3 linked regions of the Mus musculus genome follow. The protein of the gene in region 2 interacts with the protein of the main gene of each other region in a pairwise test. Links are inferred from orthologs where the notes say so. Each region holds a gene or a part of one and is shown on either strand. Other genes may lie near its edges. The genes, in order: Mcm6, Mcm10 and Cep72.

The links.
Region 1: the proteins of Mcm10 (region 2) and Mcm6 interact in binary tests that used the Homo sapiens proteins (3 or more experiments, as listed by UniProt). The two-hybrid records come from large-scale screens. The link is inferred for Mus musculus from reciprocal best matches to the Homo sapiens genes MCM10 and MCM6.
Region 3: the proteins of Mcm10 (region 2) and Cep72 interact in a two-hybrid assay, tested with the Homo sapiens proteins (2 studies listed by BioGRID and IntAct). The two-hybrid records come from large-scale screens. The link is inferred for Mus musculus from reciprocal best matches to the Homo sapiens genes MCM10 and CEP72.

What each region holds. Positions count from the first base shown.
Region 1 is NC_000067.6:128,333,617-128,341,759, forward strand, and holds part of Mcm6 (DNA replication licensing factor MCM6), read right to left. Parts: intron 7,825-8,143; coding exon 7,669-7,824; intron 5,863-7,668; coding exon 5,734-5,862; intron 4,662-5,733; coding exon 4,500-4,661; intron 2,250-4,499; coding exon 2,114-2,249; intron 1,303-2,113; coding exon 1,147-1,302; intron 41-1,146; coding exon 1-40. UniProt on the Homo sapiens protein: Acts as a component of the MCM2-7 complex (MCM complex) which is the replicative helicase essential for 'once per cell cycle' DNA replication initiation and elongation in eukaryotic cells.
Region 2 is NC_000068.7:4,997,116-5,005,258, forward strand, and holds part of Mcm10 (protein MCM10 homolog), read right to left. Parts: intron 7,997-8,143; coding exon 7,831-7,996; intron 7,061-7,830; coding exon 6,893-7,060; intron 4,266-6,892; coding exon 4,149-4,265; intron 3,942-4,148; coding exon 3,745-3,941; intron 2,666-3,744; coding exon 2,565-2,665; intron 1,726-2,564; coding exon 1,615-1,725; intron 1,528-1,614; coding exon 1,419-1,527; intron 218-1,418; coding exon 1-217. UniProt on the Homo sapiens protein: Acts as a replication initiation factor that brings together the MCM2-7 helicase and the DNA polymerase alpha/primase complex in order to initiate DNA replication. Additionally, plays a role in preventing DNA damage during replication.
Region 3 is NC_000079.6:74,050,380-74,058,522, forward strand, and holds part of Cep72 (centrosomal protein of 72 kDa), read right to left. Parts: intron 8,116-8,143; coding exon 7,923-8,115; intron 4,613-7,922; coding exon 4,504-4,612; intron 2,681-4,503; coding exon 2,502-2,680; intron 1,243-2,501; coding exon 1,036-1,242; intron 1-1,035. UniProt on the Homo sapiens protein: Involved in the recruitment of key centrosomal proteins to the centrosome.

The sequences.
Region 1 (8,143 bases), on a different chromosome or scaffold from region 2:
TTGACAAGCTCGCTTCTCTTTAGTGCCGACTCGTCCTCCTCTGCAACCAAACAAACACATTATTGAAAAGGACTGACCTCTAGCAAACTGCCACACAATTCATGGCACACACAGGAAAAACCGTAAGCTTGATTTTAGAAACTGCAAAATAAGGTGCAAAAGTAAAGATCAGTAATTTTAGAGCATGTGCTTAGGATGTCCAGTCCTCACCACTACACACACACACACACACACAATCACATGGATTTGTAAGCTCCTCTTCAGGGTTTGTTTGTTTGTTTGTTTGTTTTTTTGAGACCAGATAACCACTTTGTAGCCTTGGCTGGCTTGGAGCTCACTATGTAGACCAGGCTGGTTTTGAACTCAGAGACAAACCTGCCTCTGCCAAACTGCTAAGACTAAGTGTAGGCACTGCATTCAGCCAGAATCTACTTCTGAGTCTACTTCAGTTTCTTTCAAGTACTAGCTGAACATGGCTGTGAAAGTCTGCAGCACGGATTGGAATTGTGCATGGTGAATTACGCCTAGAAGCCATCACAGAGCCGTCCTACTGTAACTCCAGCTCTGGGGGAGCCAAGTGCCTTTTGGTCTCCATGGACACCCATACACAAGTGGCTACACCCACAAAAAGAATGAACTTCAGCTCTAACAGATGATGGCTTCTCCTCTTACCCATGGCTAACTGTGAAACCGATATGAAACCATGGCAAAGCAGTCAAGGGTAAAAAGCGGGCAAGTGCCCCACCGACCAGGTACAAAGGAGGATTGTATTACATCTGTGGTATTTTGTAGATAAACACAAATATCCTGCAAGACATCTGTTGGTAAGAAAGCAACTATAGTCATTTCCACCTGCAAAAATGTTGTTTATATCATCAGATCTAAAGATTCTGCTTCAAAATCATAAGCTAAATACAGGAACATCGGTATTTATTTATGTCCTGTATTGTAGAATGATCTGTACTCTACTGACAATGAGCTTGTAGGGAGGCTGTGCTGATACTACCCAGGCTCCCTCCTAAAGTGAGCCAACACAAACCATCATCTCTTCTGAGTTCTGAAGCTTAACACAAGGCTTAACATCACAAGTGGCAGAGAGCGCGTGTAAGACCCACAGCAGATAAGCAGCGTGGGAAACATACTCACCTTCTTCCATTTTCCTGAGGTGGAGCACGATGAGGTTCGAGATTCGGCAGTATTCAGCAAAGCCCAGCCTCAGGGAGGGCTTGGAAACAGTCTCCTGGCTGGCATCTTCACTGGAGCCGTTGAACCTATTCACAGGGGCAGGGCTGTCGGCATGACCTAAGGAAGGAAATAACCACCTAAGTCCTTCCTGGTGACTTCAACATGCCCATCTAGTGCCCATGCACACTCTCTATGCTTAGTACAAACTTCAGAAAACAGCCATTTTATAGATAAATCTGAAACAAATTAAAATCCTACTAGTGAAGACAACTGGCTTGAGAAGAGTGTCAGAGATGGGGACAGAGATCTTATTGATACCATTTGCAGCAGGGCACAGTGGCACACACCTATAATTTGTGCACTTAAAAGGCTGAACCAGAGGCTAGAGATTTAAGACAACTTAGGCTACCTAGTGAGACCTTTCCCCGGCATCTGACAAAGTCAATTTGTAGTGTTATAAGGAAAAAAATAATATTATTCACCTGTTCAATGTGATCGAGAAGTTTAAGAATCTTTTAAATTGCTATTATGTATATGGACGCATGTGAACTTGCCATTGTGCGTATACAGAAATCACAGGATTCAGTCCTCTTACCTTTACATGCACCAGGTTTTCAGATAAGGTTATTTACCCACTGAACCTTCTACTTGCCCAAGAACATATTTCAAGTTCAAGAGCTAAACAGAATATTGTATGCAAGAGTAGAGGACAAAGGATCTGTTCATTGTGACATGCTTTCTTTTGGTCTCCAAGCATATATACTTTGTACAACCACTTAGCTGTCCTACTGTCCTTCAGCTTATAGTTAATTTAAAATCCCCTTTGAATACATCCATTCACAGCCACTGACAAGTGTGCTGGTACCACGACACCCTGCAAGACTGGAGCCTGTCTATAGACAGGCAATGAGATGAGCAAGCTCCTCACCATTGACGCCTCCTTGTCCCTCATCCGTCTCCATCTGGATCTCTTCCTCTTGATCTAGATTGACATCAGGCGTCTCTACACGGATGATTGATTTATTCAGTAATCGAAAAGCTTCCTTCACATGTTTAGGCTGAACCTAAGGCAATAATCAGACCAGTTAGTTATGTTAAGATATTTTATACCAAACAGCTAAGAACACGGTGCTCTCCCCTATATGGCACTATTAACTCACTAAGATGGTTGAAATGACCGACAATATCATACACTATCAAGATCACAGACTAACTGTCACTTTCCACAGGCGTATATGAACTGACACAGCTGCATCTATGTATGTATTCTATGGATCTGTGTGTGGGTATGTGCTCACGAGTGCAGATGCCTGTGGAGGGGTGAAGAGTGCTGGATTCAGCTGGGCGGTGGTGGTGCACGCCTTTAGTCCCAGCACTCGGCAGGCAGAGGCAGGTGGATTTCTGAGTTCTAGGATAGCCAGGGATACACAGAGAAACCCTGTCTCAAAAAACCAGAGTGCTGGATCCCTTGGAGCTGGAATTACCGGCAGTTGTAAGCAGCCCAATGTGGGTTTTGGGAACCTGTACTGGCTGGTTTTGTGTGTCAACTTCATACAAGCTGGAGTTATCACAAAGAAAGGAGCTTCAGTTGAGGAAATGCCTCCATGAGATCCAGCTGTAAGGCATTTTCTCAATTAGTGATCAAGGGTGGGGAGGGCCCATTGTGGGTGGTGCCATCCCTGGGCTGGTAGTCTTGGTTCTATAAGAGAGCAGGCTGATCAAGCCAGGGAAGCAAGCCAGTAAGTAACATCCCTCCGTGGCCTCTGCATCAGCTCCTGCTTCCTGACCTGCTTGAGTTCCAGTCCTGACTTCCTTTGTTGATGAACAGCGATGTGGAAGTGTAAACTGAATAAACCCCTTCCTCCCCAATTTGATGTTTTGTGCAGGACTAAGACAGAACCAAACTCTGGTTTGCAAGATCCGCCTGCCTCTGCCTCCCAAGTGCTGGGATTAAAGGCGTGCACCACCACGCCCGGCTTGTTTTTATTTAATGTGCATTTGTCTGTAATTATGTCTGTGCACCATATGCACTCAAAGCCTGCAGAGGCCAGAAGGTATTGGATCCCTTAGGACTGGCGTCATGTCAGTTGGAAACCATCACATGGTTGCTGGGAATATAATCTGGGCCCTCTATATTCTTAACCATAAACCACACAATCTCCCCAGTTCAATTTTCTTTATTTTTTTCCTTGTTTTGTGACAGGGTTTCTTTGTGTAGCCCTGGCTATCCTAGAACTACCTATGTATATCAGGCTGGTCTTGAACTCACAGTGATCCACCTGCCTCTGCTTCCTGAGTGCTGGAATTAAAGGCGTGTACCACCACCACCACGTGGCTTCTTCCTTTCTCCCTTCCCTTACAGTACTGAGAACTGAATCTAGGCTCCCCCCCCCCCCCGTATCTACAACATTCCCAAATCTTGTTTATTGATTCATTTTTTGAGACAAAGACCCATTGAGCTCAAGTTGGCCTCAAACTTGAACTGCAGATGAGGATGAGTCTGAACTCATGATTCTCCTGCCTCTACCTCCTAAGCCTCGGGATTATAGGCATGTGATACAATGCTGGGTTCAAGGCCAGTTTGGGCTTTAAATGCTATCTCAAAACCTAACTGCATTTATAATTCCATCCATGGTAGTCTGTGGCAGAGGGCTGGGAATTTAAGCCAGGTTACCAAAAGAGCACCTGTTTCAGAAACACAACAAACAAATGAACCTAGTCCTTTCACAGACAAAATTTGAATCCTAAATGAACTCTGTATATAAAAGTACACAAAAGCCTCTTAGTTTGAAGCAGATATGTGGCTTCCAATATCACCCCTTCCCATAATCCGACATTTGCTTTGAGTCTAGGGCACCAAGAGCAATTAAAAATCTATGGAGCTAAGGTAAGAGTCATGAGTGTGCTTAGCATACACAAAGCCCTGAATTTTGCCCCAGCATATGCAAACCCAAAATAATGCCCACACCCGCCACACACTGATTATACAACCCTAAGGAGGAAGAGTCCTCTGAGGCAGGAGTCACAGTCACGTTTGTATTCCCAGCCAGAGGCCAAGGCCACTGTAGAGATTAAATAGGTTTCTCTTGCGTAAGTACTCACCTGTATCTGCACTCCATAATTTACTGATTATAATAAACACTTTTATCCATCACTATTAGTCTAGACAGCATACCTCATAAACCTATGATAGCAACCTTTTTACTGGGAGAATAGTTATCAACTGGCTGTGAGATATTCCATAACAAAGATAAAAACCCGCCTAAAAGTCAACTCATGCATTCCTGTTCCCGTGTTATCAGAGGGGCTGGTACCTCGTCACAGCAGTGCATGCGGGCCATTGATTCTGAGAGTCGGATCATGCTCTCAAGCTGTCGCACGGTGATTCTCCACGAGGACTTGGTGACCCCAGAGCCATCCCTCTGGCGGAGACGTTTGTACTGCTCCACAATGAAGTCTTCTGACTCTTTGGAAATCTGTTTAAAAACCAGTCAAGTCAAGGAGATATTTATTTATATACATACAACACAGACAGACAGACAGACAGACAGACAGACAGACACACACACACACACACTTGATCGACTACATTAAATGTCAGGTAAAGAGGGTCCTGGATGGAAGCACTCCAGGAAACAGAGGGCAGAGGTTGAAACTTTATCACAAAGACAGTAAATTAATTAAAAAAACTGACACTCAGAAGCCTATAAATTCATGTCCTAATTCTATGAATATGAAGACAATGGACCAGTATAAGCAATTGACCATTTCTAAATGATGTTTAACACATGAAGCAATAAATAGAATAAAATGAAATGTACCTCAAGATGTCAAAGCTCATTAGCACTAAGTCTATCCTGAGTCAGTATAAGCTCATGAACTTATACTGGCTTGAGGGAAAAAGACAGCATATACTGACTTAAAAGGCCCTCAGTTTTACAGAGCAAGAAACTCAGTAAACAGTAGTATTATTGGCAAATTCACACTCTTTACATGAAAGTTGCTCACAATCCTTATTGTTAGACAGGGTTTCACTATATAGACTACCATGCCTGGCTAAAATATTTTTTCAGTACTTAACAAATTAACCATCTTTGAAGAAACCAGTACTCAGAACAACATAAAAACTTAAAATTTAAGGAGATTATAGTGGACTTAGAGGGTTTTAAAAGGAGTGTACAAAGTTAGGAAGGAAAAGTGGTGTGGATATGGAAGGAATAAAAAGCCTAGAAGCGAGAGGTGGATTTATAAAAACATATCTTATTCAAGAATAAAATTCTCAAACAATAAGCTAAAGATTTGAGGATATTTAAAAAATGAATACAGATAGGCATATTGGCACATTCCTATAGATAGAGAAGTGGGCATCTAAAGCAGGATTGAGTTTGAGGCTAGCCTAGACTATGCAATGGATACCCTGACTGCCTCAAAAGACCAAAACCAAAGCTAAAACTCAGTTCGGTTAATTTCCACAGAACCCATTTATTCACACCTAGTTCTAACACCCACACACACCACGACTTATCCAGGTCTGGCAGGGCAGATTACCTTGGGTTTAAACTGTCGGGCAAAGAGAAGGTACCTTCTTATATCATCAAGGGAATAAACTCGATCGATCGATTCTTCAATTCTTGAATGCAAGTCTACTATGCGCCTGGCAATAGCATAATCTGTCACCTGATCCAGAACAAGAGAACTTCTGTCAGTCATAGTAGTATTGACTCCCAAGTACTATCTATCCGCAGTAAGGGATGATGTCTAGCTACAAGTGACAGACTAGGAGTAAAGGCCTGCGATCAATTCCAGCACTTAGGAGGTAGAGGCAGGAACCTCAGTGGAGTTAAGCCTTAACTATATAAGAGTTCAAGGCCAGTATATGCTCCAGGAGACCCTATCTTCAAACAAGACAAAATTAACTTCTGCTGAGCCATCTCTCTAGCCCCACGATCAAAGGTTTTACAGATTTTTTTTTTAATTTATTCATTTATTATATTTAAGTACACCGTAGCTGTCCTCAGACACTCCAGAAGAGGGAGTCAGATCTCGTTATGGATGGTTTTGAGCCACCATGTGGTTGCTAGGATTTGAACTCCGGACCTTTGGAAGAGCAGTCGGGTGCTCTTACCCACTGAGCCATCTCACCAGCCCTACAGATATTTTTAAATTAAAAAATAAATACATTTTATGGTGGGTATGATGGCATATGTCTTTAATCCTAGCACTGGGGGAGGCAGAAATTCTGTGAGTTTGAGGCCAGCCTGGCCTACATAGCAAGCTCCAGACCAGCCAGAATTATGTTGAGACCCTATCTCAAAAAAGCAACAAGAAAATGTATTTGCCTATGTGTATGTTTTGCATCATGTACATGCCTGGTGGCCATAGGCCAAAAGAGTGCTTCAGACCCCCTGGATGTTGCAAGATACACATAGGGGTGGGCTTAGAATCAAGCCTGGTCCTCTGTAAAAGCAGTAAGTGCTCCCAACCACTACAACATCCATCTCTCCAGTACCCTGAAATACCTGGACAGACCTGACTACCTTTACTAAGGCAGCCCATTTGCTGTAACAGAAGAAAAGGGGGTTGGGGGGGGGGGCAATGGATGGGACACGAACATGCTACTGCCACTGGCAGCGGCCAAAACAAAACAGGGGCAAGTAACCAGCTAGAGTAATGGTGGTGGTGCATGCTTTTAATCCCAGCACTTGGGAGACAGAGGCAGGTAGATCTTTGTCATTTTGAGACCAGCATTGTCTGCATAGTGAAGCTCAGGATAGCCAAGGCCACATAGAGAACCTGTCTCAAAACAAAACAAAATAAAAAAACCAAAACAAGAAAAAAATTTTTAAAAATTTTCAAAATAGCCCCAGCAGAGCATTTATAGGAGCTTCTTATATGAAACTGTTTTTCCATGTATGTCTAGAAGCAATCTTCATGCAGTAGATGATAGCTTTATTTTATGTAGAAGTAAACTGAGTCCCAGAAAAGTTTTGTTATCTGACCGAGGTCTAAGTAGTAAGGACAGGACTGAAGAGCCTAGCTTCAGTGTGTCCTCTTAGCCACTACACTATTATCCATGAGTTAACTACGTTTGTGTACTTGTGAAAGGAAAAGAGGAGAAGCCTAAGCCCAAGGCCCCCAAACATTCACAAAAGCAAGGCAGTTTTATTTAGATAATGTCTCAAGTCAGGTTGGAAGCAAGGGTTTTACATTACTTACTGAAATAGAGCTTCCTGCTTATCATTAGGAGTGTATCCCATAAACGTGGGCATGGTGGGTTACACAGAGAGTTCAAGGCCAGCATGAGTCACACTAGACCTTGTGGGGGAGTGGGCTGTTTGTGTGTTCACACACATCTGAGATGGTAAGGTCGAATACTCAAATCTAAGAACAACTAACTCAGGTCAGGCGCATTACACCCAAGAGGCACAAAAGGTCACGAAACTGAACACAAATGGAAACACCAGCAGCAGCATCAGTGGTTACCTCATTGCATTCATCCACCAGAATGAAGAAGAGATCAAAGCGGGACATGATGGGCGCTGACAGATTGATGTTCTGTTTCAAAGATTTTGATCTGTCATAGTGTCCGCTGACAGGGTTTGCTGCAGCTAAAATGGATGTCCTGGCATTCAGAGTTGCCTGACCAGAAGAGAAAACCATGACACTAAAACACAAACCCTTATAATACCCAAGATATAAGATACAATTTGCAAAACACATGAAACTCAAGAAGAACGAAGACCAAAGTGTGGACACATTGCCCCTTCTTAGAATTGGGAACAAAACACCCATGGAAGGAGTTACAGAGACAAAGTTTGGAGCTGAGATGAAAGGATGGACCATCTAGAGACTGCCATATCCAGGGATCCATCCCATAATCAGCTTCCAAACACTGACACCATTGCATACACTAGCAAGATTTTGCTGAAAGGACCCAGATATAGCTGTCTCTTGTGAG
Region 2 (8,143 bases):
TGCTGCTGCGCTCAGTTTTGGTCTTGGTGGTGGTGAATCATCAAAGAAGAGAACATCGTCCCCTTCTGAGATGCCTCTGCCCAGCTTGGGCATCCGTGGGGTTGCAGTTCCTTCCAACCTGGGGAACTCAGCCCCAGTTCGAGGAGACTGGGCAGCAGCCTGTCGAGAGGAAGACGGCACTGCTGGGCTCTGGACTTCACTTGAGCTTTGGAGGAATCTTAAAAAGGAATAGGAAGTAACTAAATATGGGTTGGGTATGTGGCTCAATGGTACATCATTTATTTGTCTAGCATGCCCTAGCCTCTAGGCTCCATGCTACAACCAAAACCCAAAGTAAATAAACATAAACGATAAATATATACCCGAGGCTCAAAAGACGTAGAACTCAAAACAGATCAGGAGACCGTGGATAAGCTTGAGTGGACAATTAGTTGTTGGTAAACAATTTCCTTTCTTTGGTTAATAATTCAAACTAGCAACTAAGAACACAGGTTTCTCTCGCCTAACTGAGTATAGTGTGGATTTTCCATCACTTCCTAGCTGATGACCGTTTTACCAACTGGCTTGGCCAGAGATGCTGTCTACAGCACACATCTAAAATTATAATGCAGAGGCAAATAACCACAAATCTGTGTGTGGTTAGCTGTAAGACCTCAGGGCCTCATTGCATCGCCCTGCTTCTCCGTTTATCCTTCAGGAAGGGAATACATAAGAAACCCTTCACAAGGAAGAAGGGAGGAGAAGTTGAAATGGCACCGGGTGAATTACTACAATTCCTTATAGGCATGTACGGAACTGTCAGAAAATTAAAAAAAAAAGAAAGAAAGAAAGAAAGAACCTAAACAAGATGGTGGAGGCACATGCCTTTAAGCCCAATACCCAGGAGGCAGAAGCAGGCAGCTCTCAAGTTCAAAGGCAGGTCTACAGAACAAGTTCCAGGAGAGCCAAGGTTACACAGAAAAACCTATCTTGAAAAACAAACAACTTAAACCAAACCAAACCAAAAAAAAAAAAAAAAAAAAAAAAAACCCACCAAACCCCCCAAAACAAACAAAAACCCCCCAACAAACCAAAACCAACCAATCAAACAAAAGCCCTTAACAAAAATGGCACTGCAATTTCCTTGTTGATGGAACCCAGCTTGTATGGCTTAGTAGCAGTCACGTTTGCCCACTGAGCCATCTTGCCAGCCCCATGCCCAACACGTTTGAAATAACAAAGTCTGTTCACTTCAGAACCACAGCACCCAGATTTCTCATTCTGCAGATAAACAATTGAGCTCAAGGCCAGTGCTCAGAAGACCTCTCCACACGGTCTCCTTCCTCGTTCCCAGGGGCACAGTAACTGCTCTCCACACCAGCAGGCTCTGGGAGCAGGAGCATTGATTGGAGGCAGGGAGCCGGATCTGCTCTTCTTACCGCTTCTGTATGTCTTCTGATCTCCTCTTCCGCATCTCCAGCATCTGTTGTTTCTGCTGCTTCAAGAGGGCTGATGCTGAGATGGACTGGATGGCAGGTTTGGAACTCCCTAAAACACAGGCCACACACTGAGGGGTTGTAGAAAAGATCTGGGGAACATGGGCACACACCCCATGATCACATACGCTGACTCTACCTGAAGCCTTGGCTCTGGCTAGATGCTTTTGTAAGTTTCTGGCTCCAAATGTGGGCAGGGCCATCAATTCCCTGAACTCCTCAGAGCAGGACAAGCTCTTCTGGGGAATACCTGAAACATGTAGACATTAATTTTATAGGACTCAAAATGTAAATGGTTTGATATCATGTGAGATCACGTTTTAAACTCTACAGTCATGACTTAGTAACCTGTTAGTGAATCAGATATAGTAATAATAATACCACCAAAAATCAAAACAAACAAACAGCAAGACTTTTTTTCTTTTTTTAAGATTTACTCATGTATGTGAGTACACTGTAGTTGTCCTCTGACATACCAGAAGAGGGCATTGGATCCCATTACAGATGGCTGTGAGCCACCTTGTGGTGGCTGGAAACTGAACTCAAGATGTCAGGAAGAGCAGTCGTTGCTCCTAACCACTGAGCCAGCTCTCCAGCCAATTCAGAACTTTTAACTTAAAGGTCAGACTAGTAGGACAGCAAAGGCATCAAACACTAAGCCCCTAAGGATTGTGGGACCCATGGACGTGCCACTTCTGGAATATGCATGAGTAACACTAAGCCCCTAAGGATTGTGGGACCCATGGACATGCCACTTCTGGAATATGCATGAGTAAGATATGCATGCAGGTTCCTGGTCACTCTTAGGACCAAAGGTGTGGGTGGACCAGCACTATCTAACTAGGCCTATTTTAGCGAAAGGTAACTGATGAGATCAGCCGGGAACGTGGTACTAATGCTGGATATTGCTGGATATTGCGAGGCTGACCCGCTAAGATCAGGCTGAAGATTTCTCTCACTGCTCAGTCACCAAGCTTTCTCCTTTAGCCTACGCCACATCGACCACTAAGCTCAGGTGATGAGCAAGCCATAGCCATTCTCAGTCCCACACTGCGTCCACTGGAGACAGAGGACGGGTGAAAGGATTACCAAGCTTTTGTTTTGTTTCCTGGATGATCGAGTTTGTGCCCCGGACAACCAGATTGGTCAGCGTGGTTTGAACCTTCTTCTTAGGAGCAATGGCCGCCGCCCTGTAACGACAAGTGCCAAAGCAGAGAAAAAGTGCTTGAGCCTCATTGTCTTCCCAAACAATATGAGGATTCCCAATGAACCTGTTACCAACGGGCCAAGATCCTCAAGCCCCATGCATGCAGGCTTTGCCGGCCACAGCTTGGTAGCCCAGGAGTTCTGGTTTATACATTAAATCACTGATGGAGATCCTACAAATTTGCTTGAGGAACAAGATGACATGGTCACACACCACCTGGGGTTCCTTAGACAGTCTAGAATCCCAGTAGAGGGTCATGATCATCTGTCCTGCATCACCATGCCCCACGTGAGCCACATCACACGTGTTCATGATGCTAGAAGTGGTTTCTAAGAGGTCTGCAAACTCCTTCTATAATAATAACGATAACACCACCAAAACAACAGAGAATAATAACAGCCACTCAAGAAAATCAACCCTTTTTTGCTTTGATACAGGAACTCATACGCGCCATGCTGGTCTGGAATGTTGCCACGGCTGGCATGGACTCCTGATTCTGCTGCCTTCACCTCTTGGTTGTTCTTTCACTTAAAAAGGTTTTATTCATTTACTCTTTATGTGTATATGAGAGTACGTTTGTGTACACTGACCCAGAGAGGACAACAGAGAGCATCGACCTCCTGAAGCTAGCGTTACAGCGGTTGAGCCGCCTGCCATGGGTACGGACACAAGCTCAGGTCCTCTGACGAACAGTGTGCACTCTGAACTGCCGAGCTACCTCTCCAGACTGCCTTCTCCATTTGGGGCACGCTCTCCCTAGACAGCTTAGGTTGGTCATGGACTCGTGTTCTGTCTCGGTCTCCCCAGAGCTGGGATTGCGGGTACAAGACTTCACATCTGGCTAAATGTAAAGCAGGGGCTCACATGACTCACTGTCTACTCATTCCCAATGTGCTCCTCTCTCCCTAGAAATAAAAGATGTCCTTGATCACTCAGGCTTCATCTAAGAAGACAGAAGCTCACTTAAGCACCCTAGGACAGTTGCGGAACAGTCCACCACCCGCTTGCTCTTAAGAGGGAAGCAAAATCCTTTCCCAAGAGCAGTCAGGAGAGATGCCTCACCTGGACGCTGCGAAGGATTCGGAAGAAACACCACCATAGTAGAAACCATCTTGGCACAGCCGCTCCTTCAGGCTGGTGCCTTTGCGGAACTTCTTCGGAATCCGTCCCCCAGAGAAAGTGGACTGCAGATCAGTCCTCTTTGCGCTGAGCTTCTTGTACTGGGCCTGGATGTGATACTGGCAGTATTCACAGTCATGCTGCGGGGAGAAGACGCGATGAGGCTCTGGTCAGCGGCCTGGGGAGCAGGGACACCCATCTCTCCTAGACTCACAAGACAACACTATGCGCTCGCTGAGTCCCTGTGACCTCCAGTGCTCCCCCTTGCTCATCGCCACCACAGCACCTAAAGCTCACCCCTCATGATTGACTGTTCATAGGCAAATACTAAAGGATTTGAGACCCACCAAGTTAACTGTCTGTGTACATGGCTCTCCATTCTTCTTCTTGGCTTTACAGGCTCCCAGGTCCATAGCTTCTCCCATAATTAAGACTTTTTGAGGATGATCAATAGATAAGCACACCTGTAAGAGAAAGCTTATGTAAGTGCTACGGTTTTTATCCTACGAATGGGCGAAGGTCAGTCTGAGCTGGTTTTGGAAGGCACGTGAAGCCAGTGCTCTAAGCAGCTGTACACTAGGCAGTGCTGAAGACTCAATCCGACTCCCTTTCCTGTAACCAACCCTTCCTTCCTCTTAGCTGTCAGAATCCTGACTGTCCAGGCTGGCCGAGTGCTCACTGCAGACAGTGGATGTAGCCCTGTTTCCCAGAATTCCTTGTGGCTCACAATGGTCATGTGACTAAGGCTTGGCAAATTAGCCAGAAACAGGGATTGATAGGGAAGTTCTTGATTTCCTAGTAAAAAAAGACAGGCTGGCTCCCCTTTCTTCATCCTGCCACCAGTGGTGATAAGTGGAGGGGGACAGTCTCAATGACCTTGGCTGACTCAGTTTTCCTGCTCCCTGCTGCCAATTCTCAGGCAGGTCTACCTGGCAGGAACACAGGCTGAGATAAGGACTGTCCTCAGGTGCCTGGGTTCTCTTCTTGCTCCCAGAACAGGGCATCCTGTCACTTGAAGTCATAGGGCCCAGTGGTTGCTAGGCAACGAATCCCTCAGCCAGCCTCCCATGCAACCTTGGCCACAGGTACGCCTCCATCTATACTGGACAGTTCTTCTGAGCTTAGAGGGATGAGCCCACAGAGCAGCCCATCTGTAACAGAGTTGTTCTGCCTAACTGCATTCACACCCCGGTAGCTGAGTTTGTGCAAGACCTCCCACCAGATCTAGGAATTTTAGCAGAAAATATCAAGCTGTTCAGAGCCTCCCAACCCAGGATCAATAACCAATGAGTAGATTCCCCACCCAGGGTAGGGAGATGAAGTATTCTGCTTCATAGTGATTCGCTGTCATCTTGTAACCAAGAGGGAAAGGCAGAAACTCACTACTTTAATTAAAAATTGCGCCATAGGTTGATGTATTTGAATATTTGGTACCCGGTTGGCTGGAAATATTTTGAGAAGAATTAGGAGGTGTGACCTTGTTGGAAGAGGTGTTATCACTGGCTTTGAGGCTTCAAAAGTCCACAGTTGGGCATAGTCTCTCTGCCTCAAATTTATGGATCAGGATGTAAGCTCTTAGCTACCACTATAGTGCCATGCCTGCCTACCTGCTGCCTGCCTGCCTGCCTGCTGCTGTGCTCCCCGCTATGATGGTCATGGACTCACGCTCTGAAACTGGAAGGCTTTCTTTTATAAGTTGCTGTGGTCACGGTGTCTCTTCACAGGGATAAAAAAGTAACTAAGATACTCACAGAGATATGGCAACACTAAGCTGCCTGTTTCTACTCTTTTGTTTTTGTGAGGAGAGATCAGGCTCTTGCTGTATACAAGAGGATAGACCCGACTGGTCCAAAACTTGTGACTTTCCTGCACCTATCACAATACTAGACTGGACTTGGAAGAAAGTTGGGCTGGCAAGAAGGCTTAGTGGGTAAAGGTACTTGCTATCAACCCTGATGATCAGAGTTCAACTCTAGGAACCCACAGGGTGGAAGGTGAGAAGCCATTCTCCCAAGTTGTCCTCTCAATTCCACATATATGATAACACCCATGAACCCCACCTCCAGCCCCCAGTAAACTAATAAAGGCAGTAAGTTAAAAAAGAAAAAAGGAAGGAAGAAAGAAAAGGAAAAACAGTTGGGAATGGTAACTTATACCTATAATCCTAGAATTTGGGAGTTGGAGGTAAGAGGCCTGCTGCTAGTTCAAGGCCAGCACAGGCTACACACACACACACACACACACACACACACACACACACACACACAGTTATTTTGATTTTGAGACAGGATCTGACTTTGGAGCCCAGACAGACAATCCTCTGGCCTTTGAACTGCTGGGGTTATAGGTGTGAACTACCACACCCATCTAAATCCCACTGTTTGTTTAAAGAAACTGTAATGAAGGGTTTTTTTGATGTGTTGCTATGAATGATCAAATACACTCCCAACCAACAAATGAAGACTTTTGTCATTCTCTACTGGAAATAAGGCTCTTGCTGGGACAGAGCAGAAAAACTATCTAGCCATTGTAGTTTACACTGGTTAGCAGCAACACAACTGGTTAGGAAGCAACAGCAACACAGCACTCACTCTGTGAGGATCAGCCTTCACTGCAAGCGCCAGCTAGGACTGCAAGGTTAATGAAGCAAACTTCAGTCAGCTGTGTCACACTCATTTCCTGATACAACCATGGCTGTTACTTATGCAGGGACCTAAGGAGACCCGAGTGGGAGAGCTCAGTAAAGCTGAGCTGGCGAGATGGCCCAGCAGTACAAATGCTCGCCGAGCAAGGCTGCAGTCCCCAGTTCAATCCCCAGACCCACAGAAAGGTAGAGAAGCGAATGACTCCACAAGTTTGTTCTTTCACTCCACACGTGAAAGTTATAAACTCTGGGAACTGTGATGCTAACTCAAAACCATTTACAATAAGAAGATTCACAGAATATCGGTAAGCAGTGAGCCAGCAAATGAAGAGGCAGAATAATGTGGAATCAGGAAAAGCCCAGAGGGAGATTAACACAGATGCTTCCGATACAAAAGGAAGTGCAGAAAGCACCAGCCCAGCAGTCCAAGCTGAGTTCAAGCCTCACCTCTTTCAAGCCATCTTTGGGCTTCATGGGGTTTGCGTTGAGCAAGCCTATGACGGTCCCTTGCTCTGTCTTCCAGAGATCTTTGTGAACATCTCCAAACAAGAACAAGGACACACACTGAGTCAGGTCATGAAGGTCGTTCAGTTTCCAGATGCTAAACGTTTGCCCCTGGAGTGAACAGAGTTCATTTCAGTCGAACGTTTGAACCTGGCTTACAGGGCCTCCATGTAATAGAGTCTTATTGTAGAAAAATAGCTGGACATAATTCACCTCAAATAAACGGGTGTCAGTGTGGATATCAAATTATACATTAATTCTTTCTTTGGGCTTTAGCTTTTATTACCTGCCTCATGTAAGATGAACAGAAGCAAGACAGGCCACAGGGAAATTTAGTAGAGTGTATGTAACTTAGCAGGTAGCCTGGCTGCCACCCAGTGTCCCAGGGACGATTGTGTGCCCCTCCTTCCCACTACCACCCTAGTATGAGACAAGCAGCAGCTATAGCACCGTCATTTATACCCGTCACAGGACTGGACAGCAGGTGACTAATTATCACTGCTGCTGCTATTAAGAGCTATCTCAGTGCACACCCCACCCACATGGCCAGGGACCCCAGCACCTTATTCTCACAGGGTTCTCTGGGATTTGTGGACTCTAATTACTTGGCCTTCTCCACAGGAGAAGTGACAGCATCTCAGGGACAACATAGGTGTCCTAAATGGTGAGACCTGAAATGCACTCAGAACAACTGGACGACACGCAGCCCCACTGTGCGGCCTGTGTCTCAGCGGAACGTTCTCTGTAGAATGCCAACCCAAAGACGAGTGCGTGCCTACTGGAAGTTATTTTAAAAGAAGGGCTGGCAGGTGCCAGACGAAGCCCTGGGGACCCCCTTTAGCCTAGCCAGGAGCAGCTCTGGAGTCAGTAAAGCAGCTTACACTGGTAGCACTCTGTGGAGTGACCTTCCTGAGGATAACCCCAAACGTCACCCAGTCTGTCTCTTCCAGGTTCTCAGTTGCCATCTTCTCCTTGATCTGAGGCAGTCTGATTAGTTTCCGGCCTGCCATCTTCCTGCTCATTTCTGTGGAGGAGACTCGAGGTCGCCTGGGACAAGAAGCCGGTAATTGCTAGGTCATTATTCTGGTAACAGACTATGTGGAACCTTACCACATAGTGGTCAGGGGACATTACAGGGAGCAACCTTTCCAGTGGCTCAGGGGACTTCATGTTTATTTTTATTTAGTTATTTTG
Region 3 (8,143 bases), on a different chromosome or scaffold from region 2:
AGTGGGCAGAACCCTTATTAGACTGAATTCTCAGGGATCTGGAGTCTTGTTTTATATTTTTAAAAATTACATTCACAAATGTGAATGTGTATCCACCAAACACAGGCACATGAAACAAACACATGCTTATATATGTGCATGTGAGCACACACGTGGGTATGGACAGACACACACACAAAGACCCATGAGAGGAAGAGGAGAAGGAGGGGGAAGGAGGGAGGGACATGAGGAAGCACATGTGGAAAAACAGGGATTTTGAGAAGAACCTGGACAAAGTGGACAGAATCCATTCTTGTTAAGTAGCAGGCTTTCATCAGTACTTGCTCTGCATAAGCTCATACAGAATAGATGTGTCAATATAAGTTCTCTGACAACATCACACATGTGTGTTTCCAAGATATGAAATAGGCAGGGATAATAAAATAACATGGGAGGTCCATGTATTTACTTACTAATACTCTCTCTGGGAGGGGCAGACAAACTCTTGTCTAGGGAAGAACAATGACAGCGGGGAAGGCATTGAACAGGAACATGGCTCTACCTTAACCGCAGCCCAAAACTCTGAACAGCCCATTACCTAACCATTGATTGTGCTTCTGAAAGCCTCACAAATGTGACTGAAACAAGCGCTTCAAGTTTTGATACTTACACTGTACCCATGGTACTCTTAATTAACTTATTCAACTTTCCTCATCCTTGGTATTAAAAATGTAGCTAGTTTCATGAGCTTGGCCTATGTATTTAGAAGAAAACACCTGTCTATGGGACTAAAGAGGGATAGGAAGAAATGTGAGAGGCAGAGAAAGAGGGTGTGTGCACAATGGAAAAATACCAAGAAATTTCCAAACTAACAATCCAAAATACGGGTGTGTGATAAATTTTGATGTGCTAAATCCTTTCCAAAGATAATTTAGAGCTTCATATATAAGTATAAAGACATCAGGAAAAATTTCAAGAGTTATAGCAAACACTGTGAATAATGTGTAGACACTTATTTAGAAAGGCAGCTCGATCCTGGCAGGACTGGGCGGTTACCTGGCTGTGAAGTGATGCGGGCATGCTGTACGTGCATATGGCAGGCCTCTGGCAAGCCATGCTGTAGGGGGAGTTCCCCACAGAGCTGGTCCTGCGGTGAATGACCTGGACACCCTCTGGAGGTGACTTTCTTCTTCTCATGGCCTCGCCTCGCTGAATCCCCACACTGGTGCTGGATGGACAAAGGACTCAACAGATGTCTGGACTCTATTTTATTAAAAACATTTTAAATCTTATTTTATTAAAGATTACAGTTTAAGTTTGTGAGAGCAATGTAATCTATAAAATATACTTTTCTTAAGTCAATTAAGTAAGACGAAAAATACTGAGTAGGTTAATATAGCAGTCAACACTGCAGTGAATTCCGGATAGTCTACCGGCAGGAAAATGTCAGTGTTCAAGGGTGACAAGACTCAATACCAAGTAACCAAGATGGGATGGCAGTGTATAGAAGAGAGACTTTACAGATTGGGAAATAGATGCAAATTAACTCCCTTAATGAAAGCCCAGAGTAATGATGTCTCTTTTCAACAGATGCTCAGAATAACTGGAAGTGGGAGAAGTCTTGACCAGTGATGCCGTACTCTCAAGCCACTCAGCCCTGACTCCAACGGTGGACTGTGCATAAACCTGGGCAGTCCTTCTATGGCATGGGATGGGAAAAGGTCTGTAGTAGGGCACAACAGAGCACATTCTAGTTTAGAAAAACTGTCTAATTGCTTAGCTGTTCTTTGAAGCGCTGTTAGGAATGTGAAAAGGCAATCAATCCGTAGAATGAAAAGAAAGGTCTTAGATCCAAAATCCACACGTAATTTGTATGATTCAACAACAAAAGAAGAAATAAGCTATTAAACAACAGGGTGGGAGGCTTTAAAGTATCATAAGAGAAGATATAGACGGCCAGCACCACATCAATACCTGCCAGGAAAAGGTAAGTTAGAACGAACACACCCACACACCCAGGGGAGGAACTAGGGTTCAGAGGACTGAAGACAGCAGTACTGGGAGATTGCGGCACAGGAGCTGCTGGCCCAGCATGAACGGCTCTGGGAAATTCATGGTGGAATACAAGACATTAAGTTAAGGTTTACAAGCAGGTCTCTGGTGAAAGGCACATTAAGTTCACAGGGTTTGGGAAGTTCTGAGATCCTGGTAGAACAGTGGCCTAACCAGGCTCTTGAGCACCAGGATTTCAAAAGATCCAAGTGGCTAACTACTCCTCACAGGTGCTGGAGACATCTAGCTTTCTTGTTTAACTCAGACATTTTTCCCCCTATGCTCTGAGAAAGAATGAGATTAAAACACTGCAATTATGACTAGACTCAAGTTAGGGCCGTTAACTTTTCCCTTTGTAATTTCATAGTCAAAATACTAGTATTCAGAGTCAAAACTGTAAGCACTCTAAGTATATGCTCAAGCCAGGGCCTGTCTGACCCATGGAGCCTTCACTGTACTACGGTGCGCACCTTGGGCATAATGGAGGTCAGCTTCATGTTCCTTTTGGCTGGAGCTCATGTTCCCAGGAGGATTGCTTAGGTCCCATTCACACTCGGCAATAAGGTTCAGGACAGCCTCATCATCAGCATCCATGACCAAGCATTTTTTGGCCGAGGTCTCAGTACATCTGTTTCTGAGGTGGTGTGGTCTGCAAGGGAAAAGGAAACTTCTCGGTGTCCACAGGCCCAGGTATAGTCCCAGCCTAGCATGGCTCTCATTATAAAGTGACCTGGAAGAGGGACTTACCTAGCACAACTGGCAACCAATAACAATGTCTGAGATGCCACCAACACTATTGCCTCAGCATTAAACAGAAGTCCACTAGAAATAGCTAAAAAATATAAATTCTAGAATGTTCCTCTGTTTCTACAATCTTCTAACAGGTTAGAATTCAACTTATTCTTTTCTTGACACATTCACAAGAAATGCATGTGATCAAGAAACTTAAAGAACTACATGTTCCGGATGCTTATATTTACCTACATTTATGCTGAGTGAGGCATGTATAACATAGCCTTTAACTTTTTGGTTCCATATACGAATGGCAATCTTTGACTAATCACTAGTCAATAAGCTAATTAAACTGAAACTTCAGGGGTCATATACAACAAAGAAGAATATTCACAGAAATTGTTCAGAACTGTCACCAAACAATGTCAACTTCAATGCTTAAGAACAATACATCCAACTGACTAGAGAGAAACTGACTGGCTTCCAGAGATGCTACCAAACTTTGACATGATGGAATATTATTCAGCTGTCAAGAAAATGGATTTTTCTGGTAAATGGGCAGTGCTAGGGGAAAAAAAATCATCCTGAATGATATAATCCAGACCCCAGAAGACAAATATTGTCTGTTTTCTTTTAGATGTGGATGTTACCTTTTAAGCCCTTGATATGTGTGCTACAGCCCTCATCACCTCAGAGGTTAGGTGACCATTAAGGGATTAGAAGGGGGAAAGGGACCTCCCAAGGAAGAGGAAATAGAATATAACATCAGAGAAAGGCACGGGAGACTGGAGTGAGAGCTTAGATGGGCATTGGTGATAGAAGAAGAGGGGAGGGAGGGAAATCAGGAGGACAACTAACAATAAGGGCTATTTGGGGAGCTCTGTGAAAATCTGCTACTGTAGAAGTTTCCTAAAAATATGTGTATGCTGGATGGTTTTATGTCAACTTAACACAAGCTAAAGCCATCTGAGAGGAGGGAACTTCAATTAAGAAGAGGGGTACAGGCAAGCCTGGAGGATATTTTATTAATGACAGGGGAGAATCTAACCCATTGTGAGTAGAGCCATCCCTGGACTGGTAGCCCTGGGTTCTATAAGAAAGCAGGCTAAGCAAGCTATGAGGAGCGAGCCAGTAAGCACCACCCCTCCATGGCCTCTGCATCAGCTCCTGCTTCCAGGTTCTTGCTCTGTTTAAGTTCCTGCCTTGCCTTCCCTCACTGATGGACTATCACCTGAAGTAAAGCGAAATATACCTTTTCTTCCCCAAGTTGTCTAGGACACAGTGTTTCATCACAGCAACAGAAACTAACTAAAATAATATACATATATGAAAGGGAAAAGATTAAAAACAGAAAACAAATTTCTCCATAAACTACATATTGAGGCCAAGACGACTAAGACATGCTCTCCCTTAGTGCCATAATATGAACAGCAAAATTAAAGAAAAAGCTAACACAAGAGATGCCAAGGAATCCAAATGCAATGTTCTGAGGTGTGGCTGTCTTTACAGCAGCTTTCTTGTTTGAAACGGACTGGCAGTACTAAAGAACTTTGGAAGAAACAGAGAAAGAGATGTCTACCACCACCTACTTGAGTCCCAGTCAGAACTGAGAACTTCTATCTGCTCTGCATACTTGTCCCTCAGGGATAGGTGGCACACAGACACTCATGCCTGACGGCTGAATGCCCTGTCGACAGGCAAATTTGAAATCCATCTGAGTGGAACCACATTAGTCCATACCTTCCAACGGTTAAAGTGGTTGAGAAGTTCTCCTTTGAGTTCAGTGAATCTTCTGGGGCAAAATGAAGCTGGGAAGCTTTCCGCTCACTTTCTCTCACAGGACGGTCATCTAAAGAGAAAATTCCCAAGAACTGTAGAGAACAGGGGCAGATGACTGCCATGTTCTTCATGAGAGCGGACACACCTAGCTCTCCCTTTCTGGAGCTCACAATACCTGAAGGTGTTGGTGCTCCATGGCTGACACAAGCTTTCATCATCAAATGGCATGCATCATACTAGAATGATGGGCTCTGGTGGCTACACTTGGCTTCCCAACAATGCCAAGAGGCTGGCCTATGCCCATAAAGCTTGCTGTTTATGAGCTGCTATTGGAACAGGCTGATGCTCTTTGCAAAAGTAGGACTTATAAGGTGTACATTTAAGGCATGCTTCTTAAATGTTTATTAAATGTGCATGCCAGACACTGGATAAGTCTTGTCACACAAGCACACAAAAGGGTCTGCATAGAGGAGAGTCCTCCCCACAATGAAGATTCCGACTATGTGAGTTTGCTCTTAAGGGTGAGTCCCCAGAAGCCCAATGCTGGAACACAGAAACAGAGGAGAAATCCCAAATGTCCCATATAGAGATACAAAGCCTCAGAAGGCCTTGACCAAAGAGCCTTCTGACATGTCTTATATAAGTACCTAAGGATGAGAAGGCCTTAGTCTTAGAACTTTCCTCATTTTATGTAGTTAGGGTCCCATGCTATCTTCTAAACAGTATTTACTGTATGACACACAGTTATAAAAAATAATAAAAAGTGAGGAAGACCCCCACAATGTTGCATAATTATACGTGTCTTCTCTGGACTAGGAGAACATGTCTAAGCTGAGCTACTTTCCCCTCAGAGGCTGTGCAAATCCCTGGACTACTCCACCAGAACTCAAATATAAATCTTCCAAAGCCATTAAAGTTCACCCCCCTCACACACACACACACACACACACACACACACACACACACACACACACACACTTCCACCTTTCCTGGCAGCAGCATCTTCTCAGACCCTACTGCATCCTACAGCCATCAGACTACCCCTTTGCTCCTTTCTCTACAACCTATCCAGAGTCTCCTACCTACAACCAGGACCAAGGCCCTCTGCAGGCCCTGTACAGGACCAAGATGCTCTTCCAGCATCTGCCCATTCAGAGCCTTTGGAGAGGATTTTTCCAATGGCGCTGATTTCAATAATATCCCTTTGCTGTGTATGAAAATACCTCTTACATTCCTTTTCCATACAAACTCTGTGATTCTGAATCTAAACGTTTCTGGCAAGGGGAAGGCAGTGATTTAAGCCTGAAGAATTCAAGACTACCCATAATTGTAATGCTTCTAAATACAAAGCCAAACTCAACTGTTTATAAGTTACTTAAACAGTCAAATAAAGGATAGAACACAGCACATATTCCTTCCAAGTATCTTCAAATTAAACACAGAAATTCCAAGTATGTTTTAACTAAACAATGTGCTCTAGGCAGTTGGTCCAACTGCACCCAGGCTCAACACTTTGTAATCTAACAGTGTCCATAGCACATCTTATGGCTAGGAGTTTCATCAAAACTGAACCAAATGAAGGACATGAGGTCTTACCACGGGGACTAAAGCATCAGTACTCACAATGTGAGGGAACTGGGCTCTCTGGGTCAAGACACAGAAGGTACAGGCACTCAAAGGTACCCTCCACCTTTGGCCAACAACTACCTTAAGGTTAGAGATACATGATCACCACTGCATGGGTAATGGACTACCAGTCACAAACAAGACAGGCTTGCTCACCATTGCTATTGGCCCATCCTGCCCTAGGAGCTGAACTCTTGTGGAAATGTAACCTGTTGGGCTAGGAGAGACCAGCCCATACTCAGGGCTATTATGCCAGGTCCCCAAGCTTCCTTTCGAGGATTGAAGAAAATAGTCCCAACTGAGTTACTAAATAGGTGGCTTCTGATAATAGCCAAACTGTTGCTGACCAATGAGGACAGCTTTGCAAGGAATAATTCACCCCACTAATTAACACTGTTACAGAAGGATGAAACAAAAGGAACATGTGCTTTTCATGTTGCTAAATTCCTCTGCTATCTCTAGAAACATCTCTGAGATACAGGGAAAGGGAGTTTAAGGCATCAGAACACCATTTACACACAGAAGATCAGTTCATGGTCAAAACATTCTAGCTCTTGGTGCTATGTCAAGATAGCCCAGACTTTATGGATGAATTTAACTTGATATTCACTCATGAAGCTCTTGCCATACTGATAAACCCACAGGGCAGGACTTACACAGTGTCTATCTTCCAGGCCTGAGGAATGGATGTGTAAGGCTAGGACTACCTATGGGAAAGCTGGCAGACTGACTGACGATGTCTGTCCTGAATTAAGGTAGTGGGTAGAAATCCAGAGCTGACTCAGAACCGGCCAACACATGCCAGTCTACATATAAGGGCCAAGCTGAACTAAAATTATCCAGACAAGTTTGAAGACACTCAAGCCGTAGCTCTCTTTTTGCTACTGCTGTATCTTTTTAGAAAATTATATTTATGTACATATTTGTGTGTATATATATGAGTGTGAGTGCACATGTGTCACAGTGCATATGTGGAGGTCAAAGGGCAACTTGCAGCAGTTCTCTCCTTCCACCATGTGTTTCCTGAGAATTATTTCAGGTCATCAGACTTGGTAGCAAGTATCTTTATCTATTTTACCCACTGGCCCAAAAGCAAGCATCTGAACTCTACTTTTTCCAAAAGACTCTGAATGGCAAACTCTGTGCCGTCAGGCATTTGCCATGGAGGAAACGTGGTCTATTTTTCTATATTTCTAATAGAACTTTAGTAGTTCTATTGCTTTGATGATCCTCTAGGCACAGGAGGTCTGACCCCAATAACAACAGAAATTCCAGGAAATGCTTATAAGCTCCTTGACCTACAAGTCATACAACACTATCCTGAGAACTTACAGATATTAACTCAGGAATGACCTTGTAAACTTGGCATTTTGTTGTTGTTGTTGATGGTGGTGGTGGTGGTGATGGTGGTAGTGGTGGTGATGGTGATAGTGGTGTGTGTGTTGTGTACACATGTGTTTACCAATGCATGTATACACATTTGTGCATGTGGAGGTCAAATGTAAACTGCCTTTGGGTGTCTTTTCTCAGGTATTATCCATCTTGATTTTGAGATAAGGCCTCTCACTAGGCCTAAAACTTGGCTGACTAGCAAGACTGACTCCAGGAGGATGAAAGATACCCCAGAGCTGACAGGGATTTGGGCCATCAGTGCAAAAAAACCTGCTTCAGTTTCCAGCATGGAACAGCAGCATAATCTATCCAGGAGCAGCTCCACTGTGGGCGGTTGGGAGGGCGACAGCTCCTCCACCCACCTAGCTGTCGGAGCTTCGGGAGCATGTGCACGACAAACAGGCGGTAGTCAGACTCATTCTTCACAACGGGGTTAAGCCGGAAGTCCACGTCCTGGAGCTCCAGTAGGGTGTGGAGCCTAAATACTTCTGCTAATGAAGAAATACAGTTGTAGTAGAGATTGAGACTCTCCAAGGAGACCAGATACTGTATACCCTGTTAATAAGAAAATATCTCAATCAGT